Linked DNA regions of Anolis sagrei. The protein of the gene in region 1 purifies or fractionates together with the protein of each later gene. This does not show direct contact. Links are inferred from orthologs where the notes say so. Each region holds a gene or a part of one and is shown in the gene's direction. Other genes may lie near its edges. The genes, in order: NCBP3, THOC1, THOC6 and ALYREF.

The links.
Region 2: the proteins of NCBP3 (region 1) and THOC1 purify together in Homo sapiens (co-immunoprecipitation; 4 studies listed by BioGRID and IntAct, with this or other methods). This does not show direct contact. The link is inferred for Anolis sagrei from reciprocal best matches to the Homo sapiens genes NCBP3 and THOC1.
Region 3: the proteins of NCBP3 (region 1) and THOC6 purify together in Homo sapiens (co-immunoprecipitation; 3 studies listed by BioGRID and IntAct, with this or other methods). This does not show direct contact. The link is inferred for Anolis sagrei from reciprocal best matches to the Homo sapiens genes NCBP3 and THOC6.
Region 4: the proteins of NCBP3 (region 1) and ALYREF purify together in Homo sapiens (affinity purification with mass spectrometry; 4 studies listed by BioGRID and IntAct, with this or other methods). This does not show direct contact. The link is inferred for Anolis sagrei from reciprocal best matches to the Homo sapiens genes NCBP3 and ALYREF.

Annotation. Positions count from the first base shown.
Region 1 is NC_090031.1:29,857,017-29,864,318, forward strand, and holds the start of NCBP3 (nuclear cap-binding protein subunit 3), read left to right. Parts: upstream 1-4,288; 5' UTR 4,289-4,327; coding exon 4,328-4,600; intron 4,601-7,302. UniProt on the Homo sapiens protein: Associates with NCBP1/CBP80 to form an alternative cap-binding complex (CBC) which plays a key role in mRNA export. NCBP3 serves as adapter protein linking the capped RNAs (m7GpppG-capped RNA) to NCBP1/CBP80.
Region 2 is NC_090024.1:60,858,370-60,866,094, reverse strand, and holds the start of THOC1 (THO complex subunit 1), read left to right. Parts: upstream 1-4,720; 5' UTR 4,721-4,731; coding exon 4,732-4,863; intron 4,864-7,725. UniProt on the Homo sapiens protein: Component of the THO subcomplex of the TREX complex which is thought to couple mRNA transcription, processing and nuclear export, and which specifically associates with spliced mRNA and not with unspliced pre-mRNA.
Region 3 is NC_090026.1:16,484,293-16,491,772, forward strand, and holds the start of THOC6 (THO complex subunit 6 homolog), read left to right. Parts: upstream 1-4,479; 5' UTR 4,480-4,538; coding exon 4,539-4,577; intron 4,578-4,673; exon of another isoform or gene 4,674-4,809; intron 4,810-6,961; coding exon 6,962-7,077; intron 7,078-7,176; coding exon 7,177-7,241; intron 7,242-7,480. Other genes in the region: HCFC1R1 (host cell factor C1 regulator 1), read right to left, coding at 146-339. UniProt on the Homo sapiens protein: Component of the THO subcomplex of the TREX complex which is thought to couple mRNA transcription, processing and nuclear export, and which specifically associates with spliced mRNA and not with unspliced pre-mRNA.
Region 4 is NC_090022.1:113,659,381-113,666,662, reverse strand, and holds the start of ALYREF (THO complex subunit 4), read left to right. Parts: upstream 1-4,271; 5' UTR 4,272-4,281; coding exon 4,282-4,527; intron 4,528-5,021; coding exon 5,022-5,153; intron 5,154-6,682; coding exon 6,683-6,830; intron 6,831-7,154; coding exon 7,155-7,218; intron 7,219-7,282. Other genes in the region: ANAPC11 (anaphase-promoting complex subunit 11), read right to left, coding at 1-109, 204-312. UniProt on the Homo sapiens protein: Functions as an mRNA export adapter; component of the transcription/export (TREX) complex which is thought to couple mRNA transcription, processing and nuclear export, and specifically associates with spliced mRNA and not with unspliced pre-mRNA.

The DNA of each region.
Region 1 (7,302 bases):
CTCTGCCCCAGAGTGTGGTGGAGGCTCCTTCTTTGGAGGTTTTTAAACAGAGGCTGGGTGGCCATCTGTCAGGGGTGGTTTGAATGCAATTTTCCTGCTTCTTGGCAGAATGGGGTTGGACTGGATGGCACACGAGTTCTCTTCCAAATCTATCTAGATCTAGGGAAGTCATGCTACCCTTCTATTCCGCTTTGGTTAGACCACACCTGGAATATTGTGTCCAATTCTGGGCACCACAATTCAAGAGAGATATTGACAAGCTGGAATGTGTCCAGAGGAGGGCGACTCAAATGATCAAGGGTCTGGAGAACAAGACCTATGAAGAGCGGCTTAAAGAGCTGGGCATGTTTAGCCTGAAGAAGAGAAGGCTAAGAGGAGATATGATAGCCATGTATAAATATGTGAGAGGAAGCCACACTGAGGAGGGAGCAAGCTTGTTTTCTGCTGCCCTGTCCATCTCTGTGTACGAACCCACACAATCTCTTCGAACATCTGGAGAGGCCCTGCTCATGCTCCCACCACCATCACAAGGGCGATTGGTGGGGACGAGGGCCTTCTCAGTGGTGGCCCCTTGACTCTGGAACTCACTCCCCAAGGACATTAGGCATGCCCCAACTCTTGCAGTCTTTAGAAGGAGCCTGAAAACGTGGGTGTTTCAGTGTGCCTTTCCAGAATAAGGAAACTCCCGGCAATATGTCCCTTAGGACGCGGAACAATGGCTTCAAACTACAAGAGAGGAGATTCCATCTGAACATGAGGAAGAACTTCCTGACTGTGAGAGCCGTTCAGCAGTGGAACTCTCTGCCCCGGAGTGTGGTGGAGGCTCCTTCTTTGGAAGCTTTTAAACAGAGGCTGGATGGCCATCTGTCAGGGGTGATTTGAATGCAATATTCCTGCTTCTTGGCAGAATGGGGTTGGACTGGATGGCCCATGAGGTCTCTTCCAACTCTTTGATTCTATGATCTTATGACAATTTTCTATAATAGATGTGGCTTTAGTAAGTTTGGTTTTCTTTTTCCAGATTTGCTCCCATTCTCTGAGCCATATGGTCTTGCCTATGTCTCTCGCCCATTTGTTCATACTTTCTTTTATCAATTCCTTTTCGTTGTTCCATTCTAATAGGCTTCTATATAGTGTCGTTATCACTTTTTTTTCTTTTTTCATTATCTTATCCCAAGTGGTCTCAGTCTCGGAGAATCCTTTTTTGCAATCCTCCTTATAACGTTCTTTTGCTTGCAGATCGTGGAACCAACACAGTTCTTTGTCTATTTCTCGAAGTTCATCCATTGATTTGAAGCACCATTGGGTGTTGTCTCTTATTAGAAGTTGGTTATCATTGAGCCATTTTTCCCTCGGTAATTCCTTCTTATGGAAGGCCTCCGATGGTGACACCCATCTGGGCGTTTTAGAGTAGAAGTAACCTTTATACTTTTTCCATACTTTTAAGAGTATTAAAATTATGTATGTTTCATGTACATGGCCTTGATCCCACTTTTGTATTGCCATAGTCAACTTCTCATATTCACTCTTTTTTTTTCTTTCTTTTTTTCCTTTCTCTTTTTTTAAAAAATATGTTTATTTAGAATATAGTGCTCTAAGGAGAGCTGATAGGAGAGAGGTGTATTAGTGCAATAAGACAATACGAACGAACATACAAACGGACAAACAAACATACCACTGAATACAATACGACTACATGTCAATAACAACACTTACCAACACCAACAATTATTCCCCCAGTGAATTTTAAAATACTTCCAGGTTTTGCTGGTCCGGCACCGGGGAATAAACTATACTTTAATCCCCTTTTCTTTTCTGTTGCCTAAATTGGTATTAGTGTAATCGCCAGTTTCCTTTTGCTATACCTTCAAGTTTCCTTAATGCATAGTATTAATATTACCTCATTATATAGCCCTTTTATATATCCTAAAAAGCCCTCCCAATTGGTCCTAGGGGGTTTTGCTATGCTCTGTGACATTTTTTGGGTGAGGATGTCCATATTCATGATGTCCCATATTTTCAGTAACCATTGCTCTACAGTCGGTGTCTCCTTGGATTTCCATATTCTAGCTACCACTATTCTCGCCGCAGTGGTGAAGTAAAAAAAAAGTTTTTCTGAGTTCTTGTCCTTGATGGAGTCGATGATTCCCAGAAACATTACCTCCGGTTTAAGTTCTATTTTTTCCTTTAGTATGATCTCGGTTATTTTTTTAACTTCACGCCAGAAGGACTTTACCTTTTTACATTTCCACCACATGTGGATATAGTTACCCTTATGTTTTTCGCATCTCCAACAGACATCTCTAATTCTACCTCTGCTAAACTTAGATATTTTCTCGGGCGTGAGGTACCATCTATAAAAAGACTTAAACCAATTCTCTTTCATCTCCGCTGCGTAAGTATACTTTATTTTATTGCACCACACTTCCTCCCATTCTGTCATATGTATTGATCTTCCTACATCTCTTGACCATTGTATCATGACTCCTTTCACCTATTCCGTCTCCGTGGACCATATTAGCAATTGTTGGTATACTTTTTTACTTGCTTTCTTTTCTGATTTCATTATCTTGTCCCAGAATGTTTCTTGGGTTTGAAATCCTCTCTTCGCATCTATCTTGAAGTTTTCTGATATTTGGTGGTATTGAAACCAAGAAATGGATTGATCTAGTTGTTTGAGTTCTTCCTGGGATTTCAGCTTGATCTCATGTGCATTTATCTTTAATAACTGGGCATACGTTAGCCAGCGGTCTCTAGGTAATTCTCTCAAGTGGAGTGCTTCGTTAGGTGCAAACCAAAGGGGGGTCTTGCTATACAGCCTGTCTTTGTATCTGTTCCATGTTTGCAGGATGGCAGCTCTGGTTGGGTGATTCTTAAACTGTTTTTCTTTCTCCGCCTTCCACAAGTATCCGTGCCAGCCTTGTGACAGATCAAATCCATCTAAGCTCAGTATTTTCCTTTTGCTCAGCGTCATCCAATCTCTCGCCCATCGCAGGACTGCTGCCTCGTAGTAGAGTTGCATGTCGGGAAGGGCTAAGCCCCCTCTTTTCTTGTCATCGGTCAGATAAATCATAACTGATCAGATCAGTTATGATTTATTCTCTGTTTTTTACCCCTCCAAATAAATTTAGAGATCTCTTTTTGCCATTTACCAATTAATGTTTTAGATTTTAGGACGGGTAGCATCTGGAATAAGAATAAGACGTCCGAAAGGATGTTCATTTTAACGGAGGAGATCCTGCCTAACAGAGAGAGGTTTAAGCAGTTCCATGAGTTCATTTTCCTCTTTATTTCTTTCCATTTCTTTTCGTAGTTGTTCTTGATCAAGTGTGCGTTATTCTCTGCTATGGTTATCCCTAGATATTTAACTTCCTTTACTATTTTGATTCCGGATGTTTCCTGTAGTTTTATTTTCTCTTCATTCTTTATATTTTTGGTGATTATTTTTGTCTTGTTTTTGTTTATTCTAAATCCCGAGACTTCTCCAAAATTTCCTATTTCTGATAGCCACATGTTTATGTTCTCTAGTGGGTCTTCCACAAAGCAAACCAGGTCATCTGCGAAAGCTCTAGTTTTATAGATGTGATTCTTGACCTTAAGCCCTTTCAATTCCTTGTTTGTGAATATTTTCTGCAGAAGAACTTCCAATGCTAGAATGAAGAGTATTGGGGAAAGGGGACACCCCTGCCTGGTCCCTTTCTGGATTACTATGTGTTCTGATTGCTGGCCATTAATTGTTATTGTTGCCAGTTGGTGGGTATAGATAGCTCTGATTGCATTTAGATATTGATGACCTATATCCATTTCTCTTAGTAGATCTATTGTGAAGTTCCAGTTGACATTGTCTTCTCATATTCACTCTTGAATTCAGCCATGCTTTCTTTCTTAGCCTCCTTTTGTTCTACCTCAGCTGTTTCCATAACTTCTTCCTTTTCTACTTTTGGCTGTGACTCTCTAACTGTCACTACAGCTGTCCCTTCAGCTTCAACTCTTTGATTCTATGATTCTATGAATCATAGAATCAAAGCTCCCTGCTTGAGTGGTGATGGCACGATCATCAGCATAGATGAAACTCTCTGTGGCCTCCAGTTTGCAGATGGAAGCCCCGCCCACGATGGGGAGGAGTCTAGCGAGGCCCCGCCTCCTTTTAAATCCCCCGCTGTTCGGCTTTCCTTGGTGTCCCGCCTCCAATTGCCATATGGAAACCCTGCCTTGTCCATGCTTGCCCGCTAGATGGCGCTGCGAAGCTCAGAAGGCCAGTGGAGTTCTCTCTGCTCTTCCGGCGCTCTGCTTCCGGTCTGTGCTTCCTTCCTGTCTTCCTTGGGCAATGGCGGCGGTTCGGGGCCTCCGCGTCTCCCTCAAAGGGCCGGCCTCGTCGGAGCCGGAGCCCATGGAAGTGGAGGAGGGCGAGCTGCTCTTGCCGCCGCCCAAGGAGAGGGAGGAGGAGGAGGAGCCCGAGGAAGAAGAAGAAGAAGAAGGCGAGGAGGAGGAAGAAGAGGAGGAAGAGCAGAAGCCTCTTCCTCCGCCGCCATTGGAAGAGGAAGAGGAGGAGGAAGGCGGAGGAGGAGAGGCCTCGGGGAGCCTGCGGAGGGCGCTGCCGGTAAAAGAGGCCTCTGGGCGTGTGCAGAGTGTGCCTAGAAGGAGCCAGAGCCGGGCGGGCATCTGTCGGGAGGGCTTTGATTGTGTTATACGCTGGGGTCCGATGGGATGGCCTTCCTGGGTCCCTCACGACTCTAGGATTATAGTATTATTATTCATAATGACAACAACAACAAAATAATAATAGGGCAGGAGTTGGGTTGGAAGGTCTGGAGGCATCTCTTCAAACTCTAGGATTGTATGAATAGGAACTCGATGGCCATCTGCAGGGAAGGTTTTGATCTCACTGTAGGATTTTATAATACACTTCTTTCTCTCGTGTGTGTGTGTGTGTGTATATATATATATATAATATATATGTGAACAACACACACACACACACACACACACACATATATATATATATGTCTCACTAGTCACAATAATATAATAGAGTATCTCTTGTAGGATTCCAGGATTGTATAAACAGAGACTGAATGGCCATCTGTCAGGAAGGTTTTGATCCCACTTCAGTATTTGACGCCGGCCCATAATGACAACAAAATAATAATAGGGCAGGAGTTGGATTGCAAGGTCTGGAGGCATCTCTTCCCACTCTAGGATTGTAGGAACAGAGGCTGGATGGCCATCTGTCGGGAAGGTTTTGATCTCGCTGTACGATTTTATAATACACTTCTCTCTCACACATATATATGTATATCGCTAGTCACAACAACAGAATAATAGAGCTTCTCTTGTAGGATTCTAGGATTGTATAAACAGAGGCTGGATGGCCATCTGTCGGGAAGGTTTTGATCCCACTCTAGGATTTTATAATACACTTCTCTCTCATATATATATGCCACTAGTCACAACAACAAAATAATAGAGCATCTCTTCTAGGATTGTATGAACAGAGTCTGAATGGCCATCTGTCGGGAAGGTTTTAATCTTGCTCAGGGATTTTATAATACACTTCTATCTATCTATCTATCTATCTATCATTAGTCACAACAATAAAATAATAGAGCATCTCTTCTAGGATTTTAGGGTTGTATGAACAGCCTGGATGGCCATCTGTCGGGAAGGTTTTGATCTCGCTCTAGGATTTTATAATACACTTCTTTCTCTCATATATATATATCACTAGTCACAACAACAAAATAATAGAGCATCTCTTCTAGGATTGTATGAACAGAGTCTGAATGGCCATCTGTCGGGAAGGTTTTAATTCCTATTTAGGATTTTATAATACACTTCTCTCTAGTCACAACAAAATAATAATATGGCAAGAGTTGGATTGGATGGTCTTGAGGTATCTCTTCCTTCTCTAGGATTGTATGAATAGAGGCTGGATGGCCATCTGTCAGGAAGGTTTTGATCCCACTCCAGGATTTCATAATACACTTCTCTCTAGTCACAACAAAATAATATAGGGCAAGAGTTGGATTGGAAGGTCTTGAGGCATCTCTTCCCGCTCTAGGATTGTATAAATATGAACTAGATGCCCATCTGCAGGGAAGGTTTTGATCTCGCTGTAGGATTTTATAATACCCTTCTCTCTCTCTCTCTCTCTCTCTCACACACACACACATATATATCACTAGTCACAACAACAAAATAATAGAGCATCTGTCCCACTCTAGGATTTTATAATACACTTCTCTCTAGTCACAACAAAATAATAATATGGCAAGAGTTGGATTGGAAGGTCTTGAGGCATCTCTTCCCACTCTAGCATTCTAGGATTTATATGAAGAGAGGCTGGAAGGCCATCTGTCGGGAAGGTTTTGATCTGGCTCTAGGGTTTTATAATACATGTCTCTCTGGTCACAACAAAATAATAATAATAGGGCAGGAGTTAGATTGGAAGGTCTTGAGGCATCTCTTCAAACTCTAGGATTGTATGAATAGGAACTAGATGGCCATCTGCTGGGAAGGTTTTAATCTTGCTCTGGGATTTTATAATACACTCCCCCCCCCTCTCTCTATATATATATATCATTAGTCACAACAATAAAATAATAGAGCATCTCTTCTAGGATTTTAGGGTTGTATGAACAGCCTGGGTGGCCATCTGTCGGGAAGGTTTTGATCCCACTCTAGGATTTTATGATACACTTATCTCTCGATATATATACACTAGTCACAACGACAAAATAATAAAAATAGGGCAGGAGTTGCATTGGAAGGTCTTGAGGCATCTCTTCCCGTTCTAGGATTGTATGAATAGAGTGGATGGCCATCTGTCGGGAAGGTTTTGATCCCACTCTAGGATTTTATGATACACTTATCTCTCGATATATATACACTAGTCACAACGACAAAATAATAAAAATAGGGCAGGAGTTGCATTGGAAGGTCTTGAGGCATCTCTTCCCGTTCTAGGATTGTATGAATAGAGTGGATGGCCATCTGTCGGGAAGGTTTTGATCTCGCTCTAGGATTTTATAATACACTTCTCTCTCATATATATATATATATAGATATATAGATATATATATAGATATACACATACATACACCTATAGAGAGAGAGAGAGAGAGAGAGCTCCTGGTGGTGCAGCAGGTTAAACCGCTGAGCTGCTAAACTTGCTGATCGAAAGGCCACAGTTTTGAATCTGGGGAGCTGGGTGAGCTCTCGCTGTCAGCCCCAGCTACTGCCAACCTAGCAGTTCGAAAGCATGCAGATGTGAGTAGATGAATAGGTACTGCTCCGGCGTGA
Region 2 (7,725 bases), on another chromosome or scaffold:
AATCCCTGAGAACCTCTCTTTGAGGCGCCCTGGCTTCCCGCTGGGCTTAAAGTATACGTCCTATAGAAAAGACAGCTGTTACAGGCCCAGCGTGCGACAGAACAATTATATTGTTCTTTCATTTTAGTTTGGGGGGTTTTTTGCACTAAAAATATGTGCACTGTGCATAGAAATTTGTTCAGTTTTTTTTTCTTTCAAACTATAGTCTCTCCCCCCCCCCCCCCCGAGGAACAGTGAACCAGCCCTTGGTTAAATAAAGTTTGAGGACCCCTGGTAAAGATCAACAGTGATCCAATACAACAAGAATTCAGGAAAGACAGGAAACACCTCTTTTGATCCAAATTGATTTCTACTGAGGAAAGAATGTGATCCAATGCAAAACTGGTGTCATGGCCAGTTTGGGAAGCATGGATGAGCAGAGGCTGGTTGAAGTCTCTGTGCTTGAACTTGAGTCTAGCCATGCCCATCAACTCCTCAACCAAGCTTTCAAGCAACACCCATTGAAGGAGTTACTGCCTGCAGAACAAGTGCAAGGGCGTTCCTTGGAGAAGGCTGAGGAAGAGGAACTGTTCCAGCTTTCATGGACCTGGAAAAAAGAGGGCCTCAGCTGCACAGGTTTTGGAGACTAGTTGAGAAATGAGCCAGCAACAGGTAACCTCCGAGAACTTCGGATTTAAGGACTTCACAGGTGGCACCTTGTTACTGGCTGCAACATCAGTTCTAGAAGCTATGACAATGGAGTGTTGCTTTCTTGTATTCCTAAACTCCGGACTTATCCTTGAACCTCAGTTTACAAATTCTAATTTCAACCTTGTACTTTGAACTCTGGTACTTGACTTATGACCTGAAATGGGACATTCGGCTTCTCTGTACTATCCTGCTATTGTCTGCCTCTCTTTTGAACTTTTCATTAACACCCTTTTGGTATTTGGGGGTCAATGCTTTTTACAACTGAGTTTGGATTAAAACAGTTGCATATGACACTAAGGGGAGTCAAGCTGGTGCAGGATACTTTGCATTCAAGCTAGGAATATAGCCCATGTGTAAATTCAGCCATAGTTATATCTCTTTAGTCACCAAAGTGCACCAAATTGTAACCAGGCAAAAAGATACCCATCCCCTTTGTGTGTATAGATTTCTTCAACCACAAGAACCCAAAACATTGCTACTCTTTTTTTTTTTTACAGTAGTGGGAACTATAAGTAAAAAGAGGTCTGTTATGAAACAGTGGCCTTTACAATTTGTTCATGTGTCACTGAAGATAGCAATGTCAACACAAACAAGAAACATTTCATTTAGCTTTCCCCAAAGACCATAAAAGCAATCTGGTATAAAGAGTAGTTGGTTGATTTGATTTGGTTTTCAACCAAGAAGTACTCTACGTGATTTATTAAAGAAAGGCTGCAGAATAGCCTTACAGAAATGTATTGTTTTAAAGCTTGTGGTAGGAGAGGAGTCCAGTCTCCAGAGAGTTGAGGAAATGAAAACATCGAGCTATGCAATGGTTTTAGTAAAAGAACAATTTCCTATTCAGAGTTTTGTATAGAATCAATCAGGGTGACAACTAGGTATGGCAGCTCCTTGAAAAGAAATACCACTTCTTCTCTCTGAGAGTTATGCACTATATTGGAATTGAGACCTTGTCTACACCAATGCTTTAACTTCACAACATTGTGGCATTTTTTTCCTGTAGGCATAGCAGGGAAATCATGTAGATGTTATTAAGTTACTACATCAAAATCTCTCCAAAGCTAAATAAAGAGCTACAGGCGGGAAAACATGCTGAGAATAAGTTACAATACAATAACATGTGTATGAGTAAAAATACGTTATTTAACACCACAGCTCTGGAAACATTGTATTGTTTGATTACAATTTCATTCAATCACTTGCATATTTCTTTAAAAAGTAGTAATAGAGAACAAATGGATGGAAGTAGAAACCTAGTATATGTGGAAAGTCCCGTATGTGCTGTGTGCTTTGAGATCTTTCTCTGCTTGTGTGTCAAGAAAGATGTAGTGACTGAGTTTTTCCCTCTCTTGAAACCTTAGAAGAGATGGGTGTTAAAATAGCTCAGACCCAGTTCTTTACCATGAAGAAATCTAATTAGTTATTTATTATTGTAAATAAAACTTTTGTGATTTTTTTTAAAGATTGGACTCTGCATGTTTGCCTCCTAAGCTCTAATTTTTTTACAACCACATCACACGACACTTCACGCTCTGCTTGCTAGTGAGCTGATGCTCAACTTTTGTATCCTGTTTGTTTTTGGATGCTCCACTACTTATTTTAGGGTAGTTTTCCCTAACATATGGACCAACCCAGCTCATATTAGCAATTGTGTCCTCTTCTTACCCAAAAACCTTCATTGTTTCTTTTTCTTCTTGAAATGATCAATGAACTCAGGTGAACCCTTTTCCCTACCTGATTTCCCTCTTTTAAAATCTGCTGTGCAAGCACATGCATCAATCCACTCTATCAGAATCATACCACTGCAGACTCAACATTGCTTTATTGTGAAATTGAACATTTGGTCATTCCAAATAAATGAACAAGCAAAAAAGAGAGGATCAAACACAATCATTTGCTAAAGAATTATTATACAAGTTGTGCTATAGTTGCAGTCTGTAGCAACTAACGAATTTTATCCTTTTATAATAATGGAGCTATTCTATCCTTCGATGGATGGAGACAAAAAGGTTAACCTTTGTGTTTTTCTAACCGTTTTTGCAGTAGTCTGATTTTCCAGCAGTACCGAGACTTGATATTGGGAAAGTTACTTTAGGGAAATATAACTCTTGGAATCTCCTAACCAGGATGGCAAGCATGGAATTCATCAAAATAATAAAATGTATCTTCCTTATCTTCTAGTTACAATCTGTAGAATTTATTCTTAACACTAATGTTTTCTATCCAATGCAGCTTTTGTTTGTGACAGTAAGAAGGAGAGGCCAATTTACCTACTAGATAAGAAAGTATTTTGGAAGGTAAAGTTGGAAGGAGAGTTATATATCTCCACATGTATACAAACACATACACACACACACAGTTATGAGGTAAGGAAGCAGTGTTTTGCCATATTTACTATTAAGGGCTCATATGAACCTGAGCTTGGACTATAACTTTGAAAAAAACAATTAATCACAGTTATAGTTTCTAGGCTCCAAAGTGTTAAGCAGTATAGTACTTACAATTTTAAAAATAATTGTTTACTTTCCCGTTCACTAGAAACTAAACCAGATATTTTAAAATTAAATATCCATCTGAGTGGTACAAGGAGCTAGTCTGTGGTTCAAATACATCAAATACACCACTGCCTATAGGAGCCCCTGGTGGCGCTGTGGGTTAAACCCCTGTGCCGGCAGGACTGAAGACCGACAGGTCGCAGATTCAAATCCGGGGAGAGGCGGATGAGCTCCCTCTATCAGCTCCAGCTCCTCATGCGGGGACATGAGAGAAGCCTCCCATAAAGATGATAAAAACATCAAATCATCCAGGCGTCCTCTGGGCAACGTCCTTGCAGACAGCCAATTCTCTCACACCAGGAGTCACTCCTGACACGACAAAAAAAAAAAACAAAAACAAAAAACCACTGCCTATGAAGTAACACACCCTACAAACTATCTACAGACCCACTAAGAAAATCCAACAAATGCTACATTTACCAAAGGACAAGAGGAGTCTACCATATACCATGCAGCTGTGGATAAGTCTACATAGGGACCAAAAAATGCAGCACCCAAACACGAATCAAGGAACATGAAAGGCACTGCAGACTAACTCAACCATTGTATGATCTGTATTATAATGTATTTTGTATTAATGTATTATGGTGCTATTATGTTTATTCTATGTGTGTATGAATTTTCTGCTGTTAGCCGGCCTGAGTCCCTCTTCGGAGGTCGAGAAGACCGGGTTATAAAAGCTCTAAATAAATAAATAAAGCAGAGAAGTCTGCCATAGCAGAGCACCTGATGAACCAACCTGGGCACAGCATTTTATTTGAGAACACAGGAATGCTGGACCACTCCAACAACTGTCATGTCAGACTACACAGAGAAGCCACTGAAATCCACAAGCATGTGGGCAATTTCAACAGAAAGGAGGAAACCATGAAAATAAACAAAATATGGCTACCAGTATTAAACAAAACTCCAAAATCAGGACAGTAAATAAAGAACCACACTCAAAAAAACAGAGGAATTCCAGACAAGAATCTATCAGGGTCAGCAAAATACCTCCCAACAAAGGATTCCCCCAGACAGGAAGCAGCCAGGCTTTGAAACTGCAAGGCCGTTCAATGCTAATCTTTTGCGAAATTCACACTTGCCTGAAGCAGAGAAAAGTTCTTTTTCCCATCCTGACATCATTCCACAGATATATAATCCTCACTTGAAAAACTACAACTTCCAGGATTCCTTAGCACTGAGCCATAGCAGTTAAAAGTGCATTAATTCTGCAGTGTAGATGCACACTTTGATGAGAATGGACAGGCTGCAAAATGTTTCCTTCCTATCTTTTTTCTCCTTCACGTTGGTTTAGACAGGATCAGGCTATTGTTATCCAAGAATGCAATACACTGCCCCTAGCGGCAAAACGGTGAAGTGAAAGCGCGGAGAGAGAGTCATGTGACTTCGCCTCTCTATGCCCCGCCCATGCTGAGACAGAGGCCCCGCCCTTTCGAACTCGCTCTCCCCCTTGTTTCCTTCTTCTCTTGTGAGCAATGCAGGCATGGACGAGGCGGAGCGTTGGCGCGGGGTTATGACGTCAGCAGACCTCGCCGTGTTTCTGTCAGGAGCGGCAACCATGTCTCCCTCGCCGCCGCTGCTCTTCAGCTTGCCTGAGGCTCGGCTGCGTTTCATGGTGAGCGGCTTGTGAGGTGTTGTTACTTCGGAGAGGAAGGCAGAAGCCGTTTATATTCCTCCCTTCGTTGCTTCCCAGCCTTTCCCACGCCTTCTCTTTGGGACTTCAACTCCCAGAAGCCCCAGCTAGCTTGGCCCAGAGTCGGGAATCCTGGGAGTTGAAGTCCAAAACTTCTGGAAGACCAAACCTTTCGAAAATACTGTTTTAACTTTGTCTGTTTTCCTCCCTTGGGCTCTTATTAGATTTGGATATGTGCCTCTTTTGTTTTGTTCCATATGTCCACTGCCTTTCAAACATCACACACAAACAAATCTTTGCTGTGTTAGGCCCAGCTTACTCTAGGCCAGGCATGGGCCAACTTGGGCCCTCCAGGTGTTTTGGACTTCAACTCTCACCATTCCTAACAGCCTCATGCCCTTTCCTTTTCCCCCTCAGCCGCTTAAGCGGCTGAGGGGGAAAAGGAAGGGGCCTGAGGCTGTTAGGTATGCTGGGAGTTGAAGTCCAAAACACCTGGAGGGCCCAAGTTGGCCCATACCTGCTCAATGGTATGCTATTTTTAATGTTTAATTATTGCTTTATTACAGATTTGATTTGGGGCCTAATTTAGGCTGCAGCATTCATAGTGTGTATTTTAGATGTGTTCATATATAATATACTAGCTGTCCCCTGCCAGGCGTTGCTGTGGCCCAGTCTGGTGATCTGGAAAATAAAGTAATGGTTTCTAATCTGTGTAATTTCTTTATGCTTGTGGGTAAACAGTATTTCTTGTTGTTTCTTTGTCAGTGTTGATGTAGAGATTGTCTGGTTTGCCTACCCTGGAATATGCAACATATAATTGCCCTTCTTTAGAGTTCCCTTTCAAATCTATGAGACTCTATCTCTCTGTGTGTGAATCATATCTATCTATCTATCTATCTATATATATATATCTATGGCTGGATGGCTCTTTGTCAGGAGGGCTTTGATTACATTTTCTTGCCCTGGTGAAGGGAGTTGGACTGGATGGCCTTGAGTATTTTCTGTTGGTTATGTGAGTTCTGTGTGGGAAGTTTGCCCCAATTATGCCGTTGGTGGGTTTCAGAACGGTCTTTGATTGTAGGTGAACTATAAATCCCAGTAACTACAACTCCCAAATGGCAAGGTCTATTTTCCCCAAACTCCATCTGTGTTAATATTTGGGCATATGGAATATTTGTGCCAAGTTTGGTCCAGATCCATCACTGTTTGAGTCCACAGTGCTCTCTGGATGTAGGTGAACTACAACTCCCAAACTCAAGGTCAATGCCCACCAAACCCTTCTAGTGTTTTCTATTGGTCATGGGAGTCCTGTATGCCACGTTTGATTCAATGCCATAATTGGTGGAGTCCAGAATGCTCTTTGATTGTAGGTGAACTATAAATCCCAGCAACTACAACTCCCAAATGACAAAACCAAAAATGTTTGAGTGAAGGACATACATTGGGTTGTTAGGTGTATGCTGTCCAAATTTGGTGTCAATTGGTCCACTGGTTTTTGAGTTCTGTTAATCCAACAAACGAACATGACATTTTTGTTTATATAGATGTGCCTTGTCTGGCTAATTTTTCCACCCTCGTCTTCAAAGTAACAGAAATCGGGCCAAACCCCAAAGTGTGCTTTGGAAAGATTTACTCCTATTGATTCCAGTGGGAATTTATTTATTTATTATTTATACCCTGATTTATCTCCCCTGAAGGGGACTCAAAGCAGTTTAACATACAAGTATTAGCATAACCATTTAAAATATACAGACATTAAGGAGTCTCCGGTGGCTCAATGATTTAAACCCCTGAGCTGCTGAATTTGCTTATCGAAAGGTTGCCGGTTCGAATCCGGGAAACGGGATTACCTCCTGCTGTTAGCCTTAGCTTCTGCCAACCTAGCAGTTTGAAAACATGCAAATGTGAGTAGATAAATAAGTGCCGCTCCGGCGGAAAGGTAACGGTGCTCCATGAAGTCATGCCAGTCACATGACCTTGGAGATGTCTCGTACAATGCCAGCTCTTCAGCTTAGAAATGGAGATGAGCACCAAGCCCCAGAGTAGGATGCGACTGGACTTAATATCGGGGTAAACCTTAACCTTTACCTTACTTATCGAAGTAAGGTAAAGGTTATATTTATACATAGGAATAAATATAAACAGTATTCAAAAATTCTCAATTAAAAACCATTAAAACAAAGTTAAAAACCACAGCAACACCCTGAATTGATCTTAAACACAGCCATCTTTAAGAGGCTGCCTGAATGAAAGGTTTTAGCCTGCCGAGGGAAGGACAGCAGGGAGCTTAATTAAGCAAGCTTAATGTGCACAAGCCTAATGTATATCTGGTTCAACTAATTTTGGCTTAAGTTAGGTAGAAGACTTTTTCAGCCCTCTAAACATAGACTGGCTGTAACTCCAAGTAACTATCAGTAGTCCTAGCTAGTAGGAAGGGATTGTGGCAGATGCAGTTCAGGAACATCTTGAATCAATATAACTTCCTTTCTCATTTAGACTGTTTTATGCTATGTAGAATTGTCATGTATCCATTAATGTAGGATTTCCTTAACGTGCCCAAAGAGTGCCTAGATTTTCAGTGCATTGTTTGAGAGTGTTATTTATTTATCAAGACAACATATGTTTAAACAGATTATTTTGGAGGAAAACTGAATTTAATTTGATGCATTGCTAAGTGAATATAGGAGTATAAGCCTTTCAGACACATGGCATTACTCAAAGACACTTGGTGCATCAGTGCCAGAGTAAAGCAGGTCTGGATCATGTGTATGCCTGAGAGTGACATCTGTTCCATCTTCTGTCATAAAAGAAAGTTGACATGTAAATATTTTGTGTATATTTTAG
Region 3 (7,480 bases), on another chromosome or scaffold:
CAACATGAAATCTTTGCAAAGCTCTCATATAGCTATATAGGTTCATAAATACCAGGAGAGCGAGCACTATTCAGAAGCCATTCTTTTCCTAATCCATCCAATAAGATAGATCCATCCCGGAAATAGCTTCATGTCATACACATACCGGGATCGTTGTGTACCACTGAAGTTCACCACTCCTTGGTTTGTCCTGAACCATGTCCCTTTGCGTGTCATGTCTCGTTGCCAGCTGGAGGCACGGCCATGGCTCCAGCCCCTCTTCCCAGATAAAAGGGAGCAGCGCTGGGGTGGGCTGGATGGAAGCAATGCGGCCGATGGGTCACCAGGTGTTGGATCCATCTGTGAAGTTAAAGGTAGAGAGGAAATGGTTAAAATAAGTTTCTCTTCTCCTACAGAGGTATGATAAACATGCCCTCAAATTGTCAAATTTGGCAATGCTGGCCATAATTAATTCTTTGTCATTCATCTTACCTAATCTTGGGTGTGCATACAGAGTCTCACTTATCCAACCTTCACTCATCCAATGTTCTGTATTATCCAACGCAGTCGGCCTCCTGCCTGGATCTATAGCTCTTTCATTGAATAGCTTTGCAGCTTCAAAGCCTGGCTGCTTCCTGGCTGAGGGAATCCCCTGTTGGGAAGTGATTAACTAGCCTTGTCTGCCTCCCATCTGGAACTCCCCCTTTTTTGAGAGCTCCTCTTCATTCACTGTCCCAATCCTAGGGTCTCTTAATACTGGTACCCAGATTTTGCTCCTCCCCATGGCCTCCTCCCCTCTGCTCAAACTGTCCACATGCATGTGGACTTCAATGGTCTCCCTGTGCCGTTCGACATGGCAGCCGCCAAAGTGGTCCAGCATTTCTGTGCTCCTAAATAACACGCCATGTCCAGGTTGGCCCACCAAGTGCTCCACCACAGCCCACCTCTCTGGTTGAACCAGTCTTCTATTGAATATAGAATACATGGTGATCCTATAGAGCTGTGCACTTTAGGAGATTTATGGTAATGCTAGTCTTTACTGAAGTTTTTGGGTGTGAAAAGAAGGAATAACTTAAATTGACTTGATTATTTCACATAGACTCAGAAATGTATTAAATTCATGGCCCAGCATCTCCAATTCAAAACCTCATTTTCAACCACAAAGGTTTGGCCAAAATGAGAAACACTGGAAGTCCTTTTATATCTTGTTGAACTCTCCCCATCATATTTGACCACTGGCCCTGCTAGGTGAGGCTAATGGGAATTGGAGTTCAACATCTGGAGAGCCAATGCTTCCCATCCCTAGACTTGACCTTATGTTTATGTAAGATCCCTTTTACATGGCCATATAGTCCAGATGATCAAAGCAGATAATCCACATTATCTGGTTTGAACTGGGTTGCATTCACACTTCCATATAATCCAGTTCAAAGCATATATATATATGGATTTTATATGAAAGTAGAAGGAGCCTAAGAACTTGCATCCATACACACCAAGTATAGTCATTATTATAATAATTATTAATACCCAATTTTTTCTCTCTAAAAAGAGACTCGGCTCCCTTCTACACTACCATATAAAATCCAGATTATATAATTTGAATTGGATTATTTATTTATTTATTTATTTATTAGCTGCATTTGTTGACCGCCGTTCTCAGCCCTTTAGGGCGACTTATATTATACGGAAGGTGTGGACTAATATAATCCAGTTCAAAGCAGATAATGTGGAGTATTTGCTTTGATAATCTGGATTATATGGCAGTGTAGAAGGAGCCTTGATGTTGTCTTACTTCAGTTGAAAACAAGTGAAGTAACACTTGCAAGTACATAACTTTTCTGGCTGGACTGTTACCGTATCCTTCACTGCTGATGGTTGTAAAACATTAAGGCATAATACCAGAATAGGTCACACTTGATCCAAACAACAGTTGATGCTTGCAATGGACTGAGTGGGCTATTTTAGTGCTGTATGTTTTTTTAATGTTCGGATGCAATGCCTGTTTTGCTTCAAGGAATACTAATGTTATGGCATAAATGGTGTGTTTGGAGAAGAGGAAAAGGAAGGGAGGACACCTAACACCTAGCCCACTGAAACAATGATAAACTGCAATGATTAGAAGAGGAAAAGAATAATATATGGACAGTGGACTGTTGTTATTAGCTACGGTTTGGTTTCATGTTGCACCATAACATGGGCTGCCATAAGGTCCACAAAAACTGTTCCTATGCTGTCACGCGCTGGGCCTGCGAAAGAGTCTGTAGACAGGACGTGTTTTCTGAATGCCCAACGGGACGCCGGGGGTGCCTCGGCTGAGAGGCCGTTTGGATTTCTCCACACAAAGTTATTTTAAAGACTTAGAAAGCTCAACAAAGTTTTTATTGTTACTTAAATCTTTAATAAATCAAACAAATACTTCAAGGCTTTGAATCAACTGGTGGCTTGCTTAAATCTTGTCCACAAGGGACAGGCAACTTTCTTCATAAACTGTTTCTTCCTTCTATAAGGGAAATCCTTGACCCCTTCTTGAGCAATCTATATTTAGGCTTTGCTGGCGTGGGGCCCCTATACTCGGTTCCAATTTGCATTATGGCTGCCGCAAGAGGTCCTTACCAGGCCAAAGTCTCTGTGTAGATTTTCAAGAGGAAAGAAGTCCTTTGTTTCCCAGTGAAGGCTGGCTGAAAAACCGTGGAGCTGTATTTCTCCAGCAAAGAGCTGGCTGTAGAGTTGTGGAACTAAATTCCCCAACAAAGGCTATGCTGTAGTTCTCGGTATTTATTTGTCGTGTCAGGGCTGAGGTGTTCCAGCGAGTGTCTCTGTAGATCTTAGAAAACTATTTCTAGATTTAAGTCATTGACATGCTGGCTGATACCCAAACAGGGGGTGAGCTGGAGATGTCACTGCCTTGGTCCTTTCACTATTGGCTGCTACTTCCCGGCGGATGTCAGGTGGTGCAATACCGGCTAAGCAGTGTAATTTCTCCAGTGGTGTAGGGTACAGACACCCTGTGATAAAGCGGCATGTCTCATTAAGAGCCACATCCACTGTTTTAGTGGTGAGATGTGTTCCACACTGGGCATCCATACTCAGCAGCAGAGTAGCACAGCGCAAGGGCAGATGTCTTCACTGTATCTGGTTGTGATCCCCAGGTTGTGCCAGTCAGCTTTCGTATGATATTGTTTCTAGCACCCACTTTTTGCTTGATGTTCTCGGTAGAGCTGTGGGACTGGATCCCCCAGCAAAGCTGTAAAAGACGAAGCTTTCTACAGGTGGAACTGATTCACATCCTGTATGAAAGGCTTCTCTGTGTAAACTGAACTACAGGCAGGGCCGTAGCCAGAAACAAAATTCGGGAGGGGTTGAAAATTTTGCGGGGGGGGGGGGGGGTGAAACCTGCCTCCTAGCCCACGCTGAAGCAAAGAGCACAGCAGAGGGCAGAGCAGCCTTCAATAACCTGCAGCTCCGCCCCTGTCAACCACCTCCACCAAGTCTGGCCTCCTTAATGAGAGAATTCAACACAAACACACCCAACTTGGTTGCTTTACTACATCGGCTATTGCTGCAAGTAATGACAGTGTGGATAAATTGTCAATATTTGCTTGAGATAGTGCTTGCAGTTCTGGAGGGACTCTGTAATTTTTTGCATCTCATAGACTTAGCATGGGGATTTGGTTAACCAGTTAAAATTCATGAGTAAACCAGGTTTTTTAAAAAATCTGAAACATTTCAGGGGGGGGGGGGGGTTGAACCCCTAAAACCACCCCCTCGCTACAGGCCTGACTACAGGCCCCCCTTTCCCCCTCCTTAACCCAGAAAAAGGGGCGGAACTAAACAACATAATCATTGATGGGTCATTGGCCCTATTGGAGCCCCCGGTGGCGCAGTGGGTTAAAGCACTGAGCTGCTGAGCTTGTTGATCAAAAGGTCTCAGGTTCGATTCCGGGGAGCGGCGTGAGCTTCTGCTGTCAGCCCTAGCTTCTGCCAACCTAGCAGTTCGAAAACATGCAAATGTGAGTAGATCAATAAGTACCGCTCCGGCGGGAAGGTAACGGCGCTCCATGCAGTCATGCCGGCCACATGACCTTGGAGGTGTCTACGGACAACGCTGGCTCTTCGGCTTTGAAATGGAGATGAGCACCACCCCCCAGAGTCAGACATGACTGGACTTAATGTCAGGGGACTATCTTTACAGCCGTACCAGCACAGTTCCCGTAATGCAACCTTTCTCATAGCCTTCCTTGATCTATTATGAATGTATCCTTGTCATGTCTTTCTTTCCAAGGTTCAGGGTCTAAAAAGGTCACATTAGGAGGCAAGCCTTTTGAGGGCAATTCAGGACAAGACCTCTCTGCCCTGGCCTGACTTGGGCCTACTAATCCAGGCCCACGCCCACAGAAAGGCAAGCAATAGAGATCCCAGAGTGCTTTGCGCTCCAGGCGGCCATTTTAAGAGAGCCCTAGCAACACCGACTTCATACATTCCCCTCACGGTGGGCGTGTCTATCCTCAGAAGGGGCGTGGCTTTCCCTGCCATTGAAGCGCGTTGCTTCTCTGCGCATGCGTCAAGCAGAGGAGGGAAACGCGGCGCCACCAACGGTTAGTAGAGGGCCTAGCCTAGGAAGGGGGATGTGGGCCTACAGGTCTCTTGTGCGCATGCGCTGTATGATAAGGCAAGGCTTTTCTCATTCTTACCGTGCAAATACGATTTACGACTCTCTTCTGGTTGGAGGAGCCCTCTCTTTGAAGCCGGGGACGAAGCGGCGTAGGAAAGTAGCAACAAAATGCCTTTTTTCAGTCACGTGACGGAATGTAACTCCACCGCGAGGTAGCTTGGGAAATGTAGTCCCAACTGTCGCTTCTTCCCCGCCCTCTGGTAGGATATGGCTCTGGGAAGACTACGACTCCCGTGATGCCTTGCGCTCGTGGAAGCTTCTCTTTCCTTACTTGCCCATAGAGATAGAAAGTGAAGAATGCTTTCTGGAATTGGTTCTGAATCTTCTTGGAGAACAAATCAATTCTGTGGTTCTTTTGGTTTGCGGGGAAGGCGTGAATAAATGGATATGGTTTCTTAATTTTTGAAATTATTAGTATCTTTGGACAGGAATTCACTTAAAGCAACAGTGTCTCATTTTGTTCCTCCAGGTATTTTGGACTTCTTGCTCCCAGGATTCCTGACTGTTGGCCAAGATGGATGGGAATTGAAGTCCAAAAAACCAATTGGAACAATTCACTTAAAGAAGGCATGGGCAAACTTGGGCCCTCCAGATGTTTTGGACTCCAACTCCCACCATTCCTAACAGCCTCAGGCCCCTTCCTTTTCCCCCTCAGCCGCTTAAGCGGCTGAGGGGGAAAAGGAAAGGGCCTGAGGCTGTTAGGAATGGTGGGAGTTGAAGTCCAAAACACCTGAAGGGCTGTTTGCCTATATCTGACTTAAAGCATCTTACGACACATAAGCAAAGGTATTTTAATAGTAGGTAGACTCAGTAACTATTCTAAAGCCTTTGTCTGTGTGGATCCTAATAATTTGTGGCAAGTTCTTGGTGGTATGGGGATACCAAATCACCTTATCTCTCTCCTGAGGAATCTGTATAAGGACCAAGTAACAACAGTAAGAACTGACCATGGAACAACAGACTGGTTCAAGATTGGGAAAGGCGTACGGCAGGGTTGTATACTCTCACCCAACCTATTCAACTTGTATGCAGAACACATCATGCAGGGCTTGATGAATGCAAGGTCAGGGTTAAAATAGCTGGAAGAAACATTAGCAACCTTAAATATGCAGATGATACCACTTTGATGGGCAAAAGCGAGGAGGAGCTGAGGTGCTTTCTTGTTGTTGTTGTTCATTCGTTCAGTCGTCTCCGAGTCTTCGTGACCTCATGGACCAGCCCACGCCAGAGCTCCTTGTCGGCCGTTACCACCCCCAGCTCCCTCAAGGTCAGTCCAGTCACTTCAAGGATGCCATCCATCCATCTTGCCCTTGGTCGGCCCCTCTTCCTTTTGCCTTCCACTTTCCCCAGGTGCTTTCTAATCAAGGTGAAAGAAGAAAGTGCTAAAGCTAAGTTGCAGTTAAACATTAAAAAAAACCCCAAGATTATGGCAACCAGACTGATTGATAACTGGCATATAGAAGGGGAAAATGTGGAGGCCGTGACAGAGTTGGTGTTTCTAGGTGCAAAGATTACTGCAGATGCAGACTGCAGACTGGAAATCAGAAGATGCTTACTTCTTGGGAGGAGAGCAATGACCAATCTCAATAAAATAGTGAAGAGTAGAGACATCACATTAGCAATGTTAAAGCAATGGGATTCCCCGTTGTAACCTACAGATGTGAGAGCTGGACCATAAGGAAGGTTGAGCGAAGAAAGATAGATGCTTTTGAACTGTGGTGTTGGAGGAAAATTCTGAGAGTGCCTTGGACCATGAGAAGATCCAACCAGTCCATATTTCAGGAAGAAAAGCTTATTGGAGGGAAGGATATTAGAGGCAAAGATGAAGTATTTTGGACACGTAATGAGAAGACAGGAAAGCTTAGAGAAGACAATGATGCTGGGGAAAAAGGAAGGAAAAAGGAGGAGGGGCCGACCAAGGGCAAGATGGATTGATGATATCCTTGAAGTGACTGGCTCGACTCTGAAGGAGCTGGGGGTGGTGACGGCCGACAGGGAGCTCTGACGTGGGCTGGTCTATGAGGTCACGAAGAGTCTGAAGTGTCTGAACGAATGAACAACAAAAACTCAGTAACAGTTTTAAGCATCCTTCCTTCATAAATTCAAGAAGATAGGAAACTCTTCATTGATCCATTTATCCCAATATTGTCCATACTAATTTACAGCCACTCTCCAGAATTACAGGCCGGATTGTTTCCAAACACTAGAGATCTCCAGGCTTGATCTTGTTCACTTCGCCAAACCAGTGAAGACTAGCATATTTAGGGTGGTACTACTGACCTGACTTCTCATCCCACCTTTTGCCAGATGAATATCCAGCGATCCCTTGAGCTGCTGCACATGACCGTCTACTCCCAGAGCGTCTCGCCTTGTGGAAAGTATTTAGCGGCTGGGAACAATTATGGAGAGATTGCCATATTCAGGTAGCTAGTGCTTTCTTAACACAAAGGGTGTTTTTGGGTGAGACATTAATTTGAAATGATTACAAGTTACATTTCACGGTCTTTCCCTCCTCTTTACAGCCTTTCAGCAGCACTGAGTTCAGAGGCCAAGGAAGAGAGCAAGAAGCCAGTGGTTTCCTTTACAGGTAGATCATTATGGTCCGGTGAATCCAAGCAATTCCTGTCATGTTTGTGACTGTTCAGATCTGACCCACCATGTCATTTTATGTGGCTCTCCAGATACTGGACTACAACTCCTATGTTCCTCATCATAATCATCATAACTAGAGCTAATGGCAGTTGTAATACAGTAACACCTGGAAGGCTGCAGTTCGTTTAGTCAGTGGAATGTGGTTTGAATTTAGATACAAGGCTTGTGGATATG
Region 4 (7,282 bases), on another chromosome or scaffold:
CAGTGCTGCTGGACTTGCTGGGAGTTAAGCCACTTGAGAATGCAGTGCATGTGGAAGCAGTGGGAACACTGACCCCACACCAGCGGGCAGTCATCTCCAGGCACCTTACCTGCAAAACACAAGAGTTACTAGGGCAAAGCTGGGAAAAGACAGTGTATATCGATCAAGAAAAATGTCAGTGGGCAGATAGTCCCAATACTCACAATCTGGGCAGCAGCCATTGAAGGCCATCCGGCAAATGCCACAATTCTCATCATTGGCAACCCAGAGCCAAGAGGCAACTCCATGCCAGCTCTTGATTTTCACTTTCATTGTGTTCAACTAAATACCACACTTAGATCAACCTAGTTTAGCACCTGAAGGGAGGAGAGAAAAAACCAATGGAAATCACTGTTTCTAAAATGGGAATCAGAGTTTCTAGAAATCAAAGTCTCTGTTTCCTAGCAAGATTGGAGCTGGAATGCAATTTAAAAACTATTTAACCTATTTAACCTTTCCACCAGGGTAGCAATAGATGGCATTATAAATTATATTAATATTCGTCTTACAATGTATATGCAGTCCAGGAGGTATGTTAAGCTTGTGCCTTCTTTAGGGATGATGCAGGACAGACTACAACCAAATTCCAGATTAGGACAGGATGGAAGCAGAGATTTTTGAGACATTAAAGCAAAGTAATATATATTAATTCTTACCTATGATTACATTGTTTTTATAGTATAACCATTACAGCAGATGAATACCAAGGTCCTAATGCCCAGCATAACTATACAAAAGCATTGCAGAAGAACAGCAGCATTAAGACATTGCAAAGCTGGGTACATTATTAATATTGAACTCAACAAAATTTGAAGTAGTTGGGTAGGAATCATATCCCATGTGGGTAGAATTCAAAGGCATGACTGCATTAGTCTAGAATACCAGTATGCAAAGGGATCTTGCAGTACCTTAGAGGCAAAATGAGACAACAAAACTGATAACATAACCTTTCCAAGATCAAGTCTATTTTGTCAGTAGCTCGCCACAGAGTTTGTGGGCATGGTGCTAAAATGACCAGTTCAGTGTTAATGATGTCACTGAGGAACAAAGGGAGTCGAGAAGATGTTGCCTAAAGGCAAGATAAGTAGATAAGCATATGAATGGTGGAGGGAGTTCTTGGACTGTCCTGTACCTGTTTTGCATTTCTATGGCTATTCACACATTCTGTGTATAAAGATCTCTTTACCCTAGGGATAAATAGGAATGTCTGGTGCTAACCCACCTGATAAACATGTATGTACTGAAACACAATCATTTTTTTTATACTATAATTAACTATTTGATATTGCTGTTTACAATATAAATAAACTGACACAGAACTTCTAGGACCATAAACTTTTATCACATAGATTTTATGAATTTTTCCCAAGCACTTCAGTCCATGCATCTGAGAAATCGGACGAATTATGAAAGTTTAAGCTACTAGCGTCATTCTTTCAGTCTCTAAGTGCCACAAGACCCCTTTGCATACTGTTAAGACTGCAATAGTTCCTATCGCAGCCCTTGAAAGGAAGAAAAGCAAAAGATATCCATATTTTGCAGGATATTCTCAACTGAGTCTTATTTAATTTATATGTTGCCTTTCTTATAAATAAATAAATAAATAAACCAATAATAAAACATTAAAACAATTTAAACTATCATGTTAAAGCAGTACATAATTATTGAAAGCACATATCAAAAATAAAGCATTCTTCCCCGTGGGCAATTACATATTATCAGATTAATATTTTAAACACTGTATTTTCAGTTACCAGCTCCCCGTATCTTGCCATCTTCTTTTAAACAGCTTGTAAGAAGTAAACCCTAGGTAGCTGAAGAACTAGGGACTTCAGCACACTAGAGCATCTATCAACCTTAAATCCAGTTTCTGCCTCCTGCAGAATTCTGGGTTTGTAGTTTAGAGAGTGGCCTTTAAAAAGCTCATCCAGAGAGGTCTTGGAACTCACTAAACTACAAACCCCAGAATTTTGCAGGAGGGAACAACTGGATTTAAAGTGGATAGATGCTCTAGTGTACGCTTGGGCAAACTTCAGCCCTCCAGGTGTTCTGGACTCCAACTCCCACAATTCCTAACAGCTTACTAGCTGTTCGGACTTGTGGGAGTTAGAGTCCAAAACACCTGGAGCACCCAAGTTTGCCCATGTTTGCTCTATTGTGATGAAGTAGCTGCTTTTGTAACAGTGACCTAAAATTAATGGTTGGCTCAAACTATAGCAGGCTCTTTGCACTATCTGTGTGTCTGTATACACACAACACTTCAAGCTGATCATTGACTGATTGCGTTATTGTAGGTTTTTTGGGCTATATGGCCATGTTCTAGAGGCATTCTCTCCTGACATTTCGCCTGCATCTATGGCAAGCATCCTTGTGAGGTCCTCACAACCTCTGAGGATGCTTGCCATAGGCGAAACATCAGGAAAGATGCCTCTAGAACAGGGATCCTCAAACTTTTTAAACAGAGGGCCAGGTCACAGTCCCTAAAACTGTTGGAGGGCTGGATTATAATTTGAAAATAACATGAATTCCTATGCATGCTGCACATATCTTATTTGTAGTGCAAAAAACACTTTAAAGCAATACAATATTTAAAATGAAGAACAATTTTAACAAATGTAAACTTATTAGTATTTCAATGGGAAGTGTGGGCCTGCTTTTGGCTGAGATAGGATTGCTGTTGTTATAGCCTAAAGCAAGGGTCCTCAAACTAAGGCCCGAGGGCCGGATGCGGCCCTCCAAGGTCATTTACCCGGCCCTCGCTCAGGGTCAACCTAAGTCTGAAATGACTTGAAAGCACACAACAACAATCCTATGTCATCACCCAAAAGGAGGCCCACACTTCCCATTGGAATACTATTAAGTTTATATTTGTTAAAATTGGTTTTTGTTTTAATTATTGTATTGTTTTAAAGTGGTTTTTGCACTACAAATAAGATATGTGCAGTGTGCATAGGAATTCATTCATATATTTTTTTCAAATTATAATCGGGCCCTCCAACAGTTTGACGGACTGTGACCTGGCCCTCTTTTTAAAAAGTTTGAGGACCCCTAGCCTAAAGCATCTGATATTTGGTGGCTGTCTCCCATCTAGGAGCTATGCAGTTTTCAAGATCAGGCAGACCTTGGCACCTTTACAACTGTTAGGCGCACACTGACTGCTGCGTAGTCAATTGGCATGAATCTATAAAAGTAAAGGTTTCCCTTGACATTAAGCCTAGTTGTGTCCGACTCTGGGGGTTGGTGCTCATCTCCATTTCTAAGTTGAAGAGCCAGTGTTGTCCATAGATACCTCCAAGGTCATGTGGCCAGCATGACTCCATGGAGTGCTGTTACCTTCCTGCCGGAGCTGTACCTATTGATCTACCCACATTTGCATGTTTTCAAACTGCTAGGTTGGCAGGAGCTGGACTTACAGCGGGAGCTCACCCTGCTCCCCAGATTCGAACAGCCAATATTTAGGTTAGCAAGTTCAGCAGCTCAGCGGTTTAACCGGCTGCACCACCAGGGGCCCTGGCACCAATGTAATGGCTCTGCTCTCGTTGGAACTAGCAGCTTGGCCTGGGCAATGCTTCAGCGTTGGGCTATTATTACGTGCGGATCTCTTTACCAAAGAGCAGCCGCCAAACAACAGCAGCAGCCACAAGACTGTAGTCTGAGGTCTCCGTCTACACTGGCCATTTATTGCAGTTCCAAAGCGATTTTGCTGTGCAGTCAGATGGCTACATGAGAAATCCTGGAGCCAGTTTGAGGCCCAGAAAGTGCTGAAAGCCCTGAGGCACATTAAGGGCTTTGCATTCAAGGGAGTTTGTCGCCTGGTTGCCGAACTGTATGAAATGTTTAGTGCAGACGGGGCTTTGGGGGGAACAGCCCCCTCCCCTGCCCCGAGGCAGCATCCTCCTCCTCCTCCAACCTTCCCGCCTCCCTTCCCCTTACCGGAAGTCCCGCCCCCAAGGGCTCTCCCATAGTTCCTCGCGCACCCAAGCCCTTAAAACCGAGCGCGAGAGGCCCCTTGGCGCACTTCTTTCAGCGGAGGAGCCCGGCACGAGCGCAAGCGCGCCCACCCACCGCGCTCTTCCCTTCCTTTCTTTCCCGCCTCCTTCTCCTTCTTCTTCCTCCTCAGCCAGGCTCCTTCTTTTTCTCCTTCGCCGCCCTTCCCTCTGTATCCCCGCCTCATCCGTTTCCGGTCCCCTCGCGCAGCGCGGCCGGAAGCGTAGGCCCCAGGAGCCGGAGGGAGCCGCCATCATGGGCGACAAAATGGACATGTCTCTGGACGATATTATCAAGCTCAACCGGAGCCAGCGAGGCGGAGGCGGGCGCGCCGGGCGAGGCCGGGGGCGAGGGGCCGCGGGGCGAGGCGGCGGAGGAGGCGGCGGCGGCGCGGGGCGAGGAGGCGGAGGCGCGGGGCGGGCAGGAGGCGGAGGCCCCATCCGGAACAGAGCCGCCTTGTCCCGGGGAGGCGGCAGGAACAGGCCGGCGCCCTACAGCCGGGTACGTTTCCGCCAGGCGTCTCCTGGGGGTCTGCCTTCGGGCTCATCTGGACTCTCACTGCATTCGCAACTCGTGATAGCACTTGGGCCTGCACCTGGGGGAGAAAACGCAGGGAAGCCTAGGCTTATACTATACGGCAGTGGTTCTCAACCTGTGGGTCCCCAGATGTTTTGGCCTTCAATTCCCAGAAATCCTAACAGCTGGTAAACTGGCTTGGATTTCTGGGAGTTGTAGGCCAAAACACCCGGGGACCCACAGGTTGAGAACCACTGCTCTAGGGGCTGTAGTCTGAAAATAAGGGGACATGAGACCTTAAGACAAGTGGTTTGCCACTTGTCGGTCCCCAGTATTTTGGCCTACAAGTCCCAGAAAGTTTACCAGCTGTTAGGATTTCTGGGAGTTGAAGGCCAAAACATCTGGGAAGCCACAGGTTGAGAACCAATGCCTTAAGATATGCTGATCAGTTACTGACTTGGGGTGCCCTTTCTTTCCAGCCCAAACAACTTCCAGAAAAGTGGCAACATGATCTCTTCGAAAGTGGCTTTGGTCCTGGCGCTGGTGTGGAGACAGGTGGAAAACTTCTGGTCTCTAATCTAGATTTTGGCGTGTCAGATGCGGACATACAGGTAGGTTTTCCCTTCATCTCTAATAATAGGTGGCCCAGTGTTGGAATTTGTTCTAACTCAGGCATGAGCAAACTTCATCCCTCCAGGTGTTTTGGACTCCAATTCCTAACAGCTGGTAGGCTGTTAGGAATTGTGGGAGTTGGAGTCCAAAACACCCGGAGGGCCGAAGTTTGCTCATGCCTGAGCTAGCTGATAAGGTTGTGTAATGGAGACCGCCTTTATTTTGGGCATCTTATTGCAAATTTCATCTGTGTGGACATGGGTGTTTTTTTATGATTGTGACAAATGTCTTAATGTTTGGAGAGAAGCAGAAATGTCTCTCTGTGAAATTATCAGCATTAATATTTATTTCCTTTGATAGTTTGGGATTGTTAGCAAACACATTGATATTCATAGGCTGTCTTGTTTTGTGTAGAGTACATATATGAACATTTTCTAAACAATTTCATAAGCTTAGTACTATAGTAGATATATCTGTTCTACACACTTCTTTTTGTAATCCTTGGGATATGTGGATCTCTATTGGATTATTTTTTTCTGTGCAGGGAAGTCTGAACCTAAGGCTAACCTATACAAAGACAGAAAATTATTAATTAAAAAATCATTAAAATTTTATTTCTAGTCTGTCCTATCTCCCTGAAAGGACTCAGGGCGATTTCTAATACAAAAGCAAATATTCAATGCCATATGCAACCATAAAAACACAGCACCATAAAATAACAATGAAACATGGCTAAAATGCATGCATAAAATAAACTCTATGAGGAGGGTAAACAATCAGGCTTTTTTGCAGGGAGAAAATTTTATCCTGTTGAACCACATTTCCCAGTACTGTTTATCCTTTGAAATAAAGCCAATGTTGTATCAGACAATAGGCAAACAAGAATATATTGTGGTTTGGTTGTAGGGTACAATGGCTTTTATGACTTCAGATGAACATATGCTCACACACTGGATTCATGAAGGCCAGACTTTTTGCCAATCTGCTCTTAAAACAGCATAAGGCAAAAGACACTTGCATGATTTGAGATTCAAACATGGCAATGGTTTATATAGTGTTATGCAAGATCACTTAACTTGTTTAGGAGTATGTAGCTTAAGCAGGGTAAGCCGCTTCAAATGCCCAAGAAGCAGTTCTCCACCACAGTGGGCTCCACTACAGAAAGTACAGCAGGGAACTTGTTTTCCATAATTATTCTTCTGATTTTATTTGTAGTGGGGCTATGAGGAATGCAACCACTCCACTTTATTTTGTGGCTGAGGCACCTTGGTGGAGGTCTCATCAACATTGCCTCCTCAGGAGATCTTCTGCCCTACATTTCTTGCATTTTTCCTTGAGTTCTGGGGTTAATTTAAGTAGAAAATGAGGCAAAGTTAATGCAAGATCTGATTTGTAGTTGTAGTAAAATGGCAAATGTGAGAGTGAAAGAGTTTACTGCTTTAATGGGTAATCTTTTTAGAAAGACCTGAATACTTTGCCAAATCCTCCTGGTTGAGATAACTTCCTACTTTTACCATATCATTTTCAGGAACTTTTTGCAGAATTTGGTACATTGAAGAAGGCAGCAGTACACTATGACCGATCTGGGCGTAGTCTAGGTACTGCAGATGTTCATTTTGAGAGGAAGGCAGATGCTCTGAAGGCTATGAAACAGTACAATGGAGTTCCCCTGGATGGTACGTGCTTAACTGTCTATCTTGATATTTACACAGTGGAATAAGAGATAAGCTAGCCTTGAATTTAAGTATTTCTCTGGTAGCTACAAATAACAAGGAAATGTGTTTGGAGTGTGTATGTATTATTCTATGTAAGAGGGTGGCAAAGGAAGAATGGAGAATCTGTTTTTTTTGGCATAGAAACCAAGAAGACAGTTTAAAATGGTATGGTCCTGAGAAGCTTCCAACCCTTGGTTCTTGAAAGAAGTATTTTAGCATTATTTTACAGACTAGTAAGGTTTTTGGACTAATAACCCTTGTGATGCATATCCTTTTTATTTTTAGGACGTCCCATGAATATCCAACTGGTTACATCACAAATAGATACACAGAGGAGACCAATACAGAGGTAGGAGATTTAATCTTTATTGATGATGATGATAATAATAATAAGTTTGTTCTTTTATACCGCC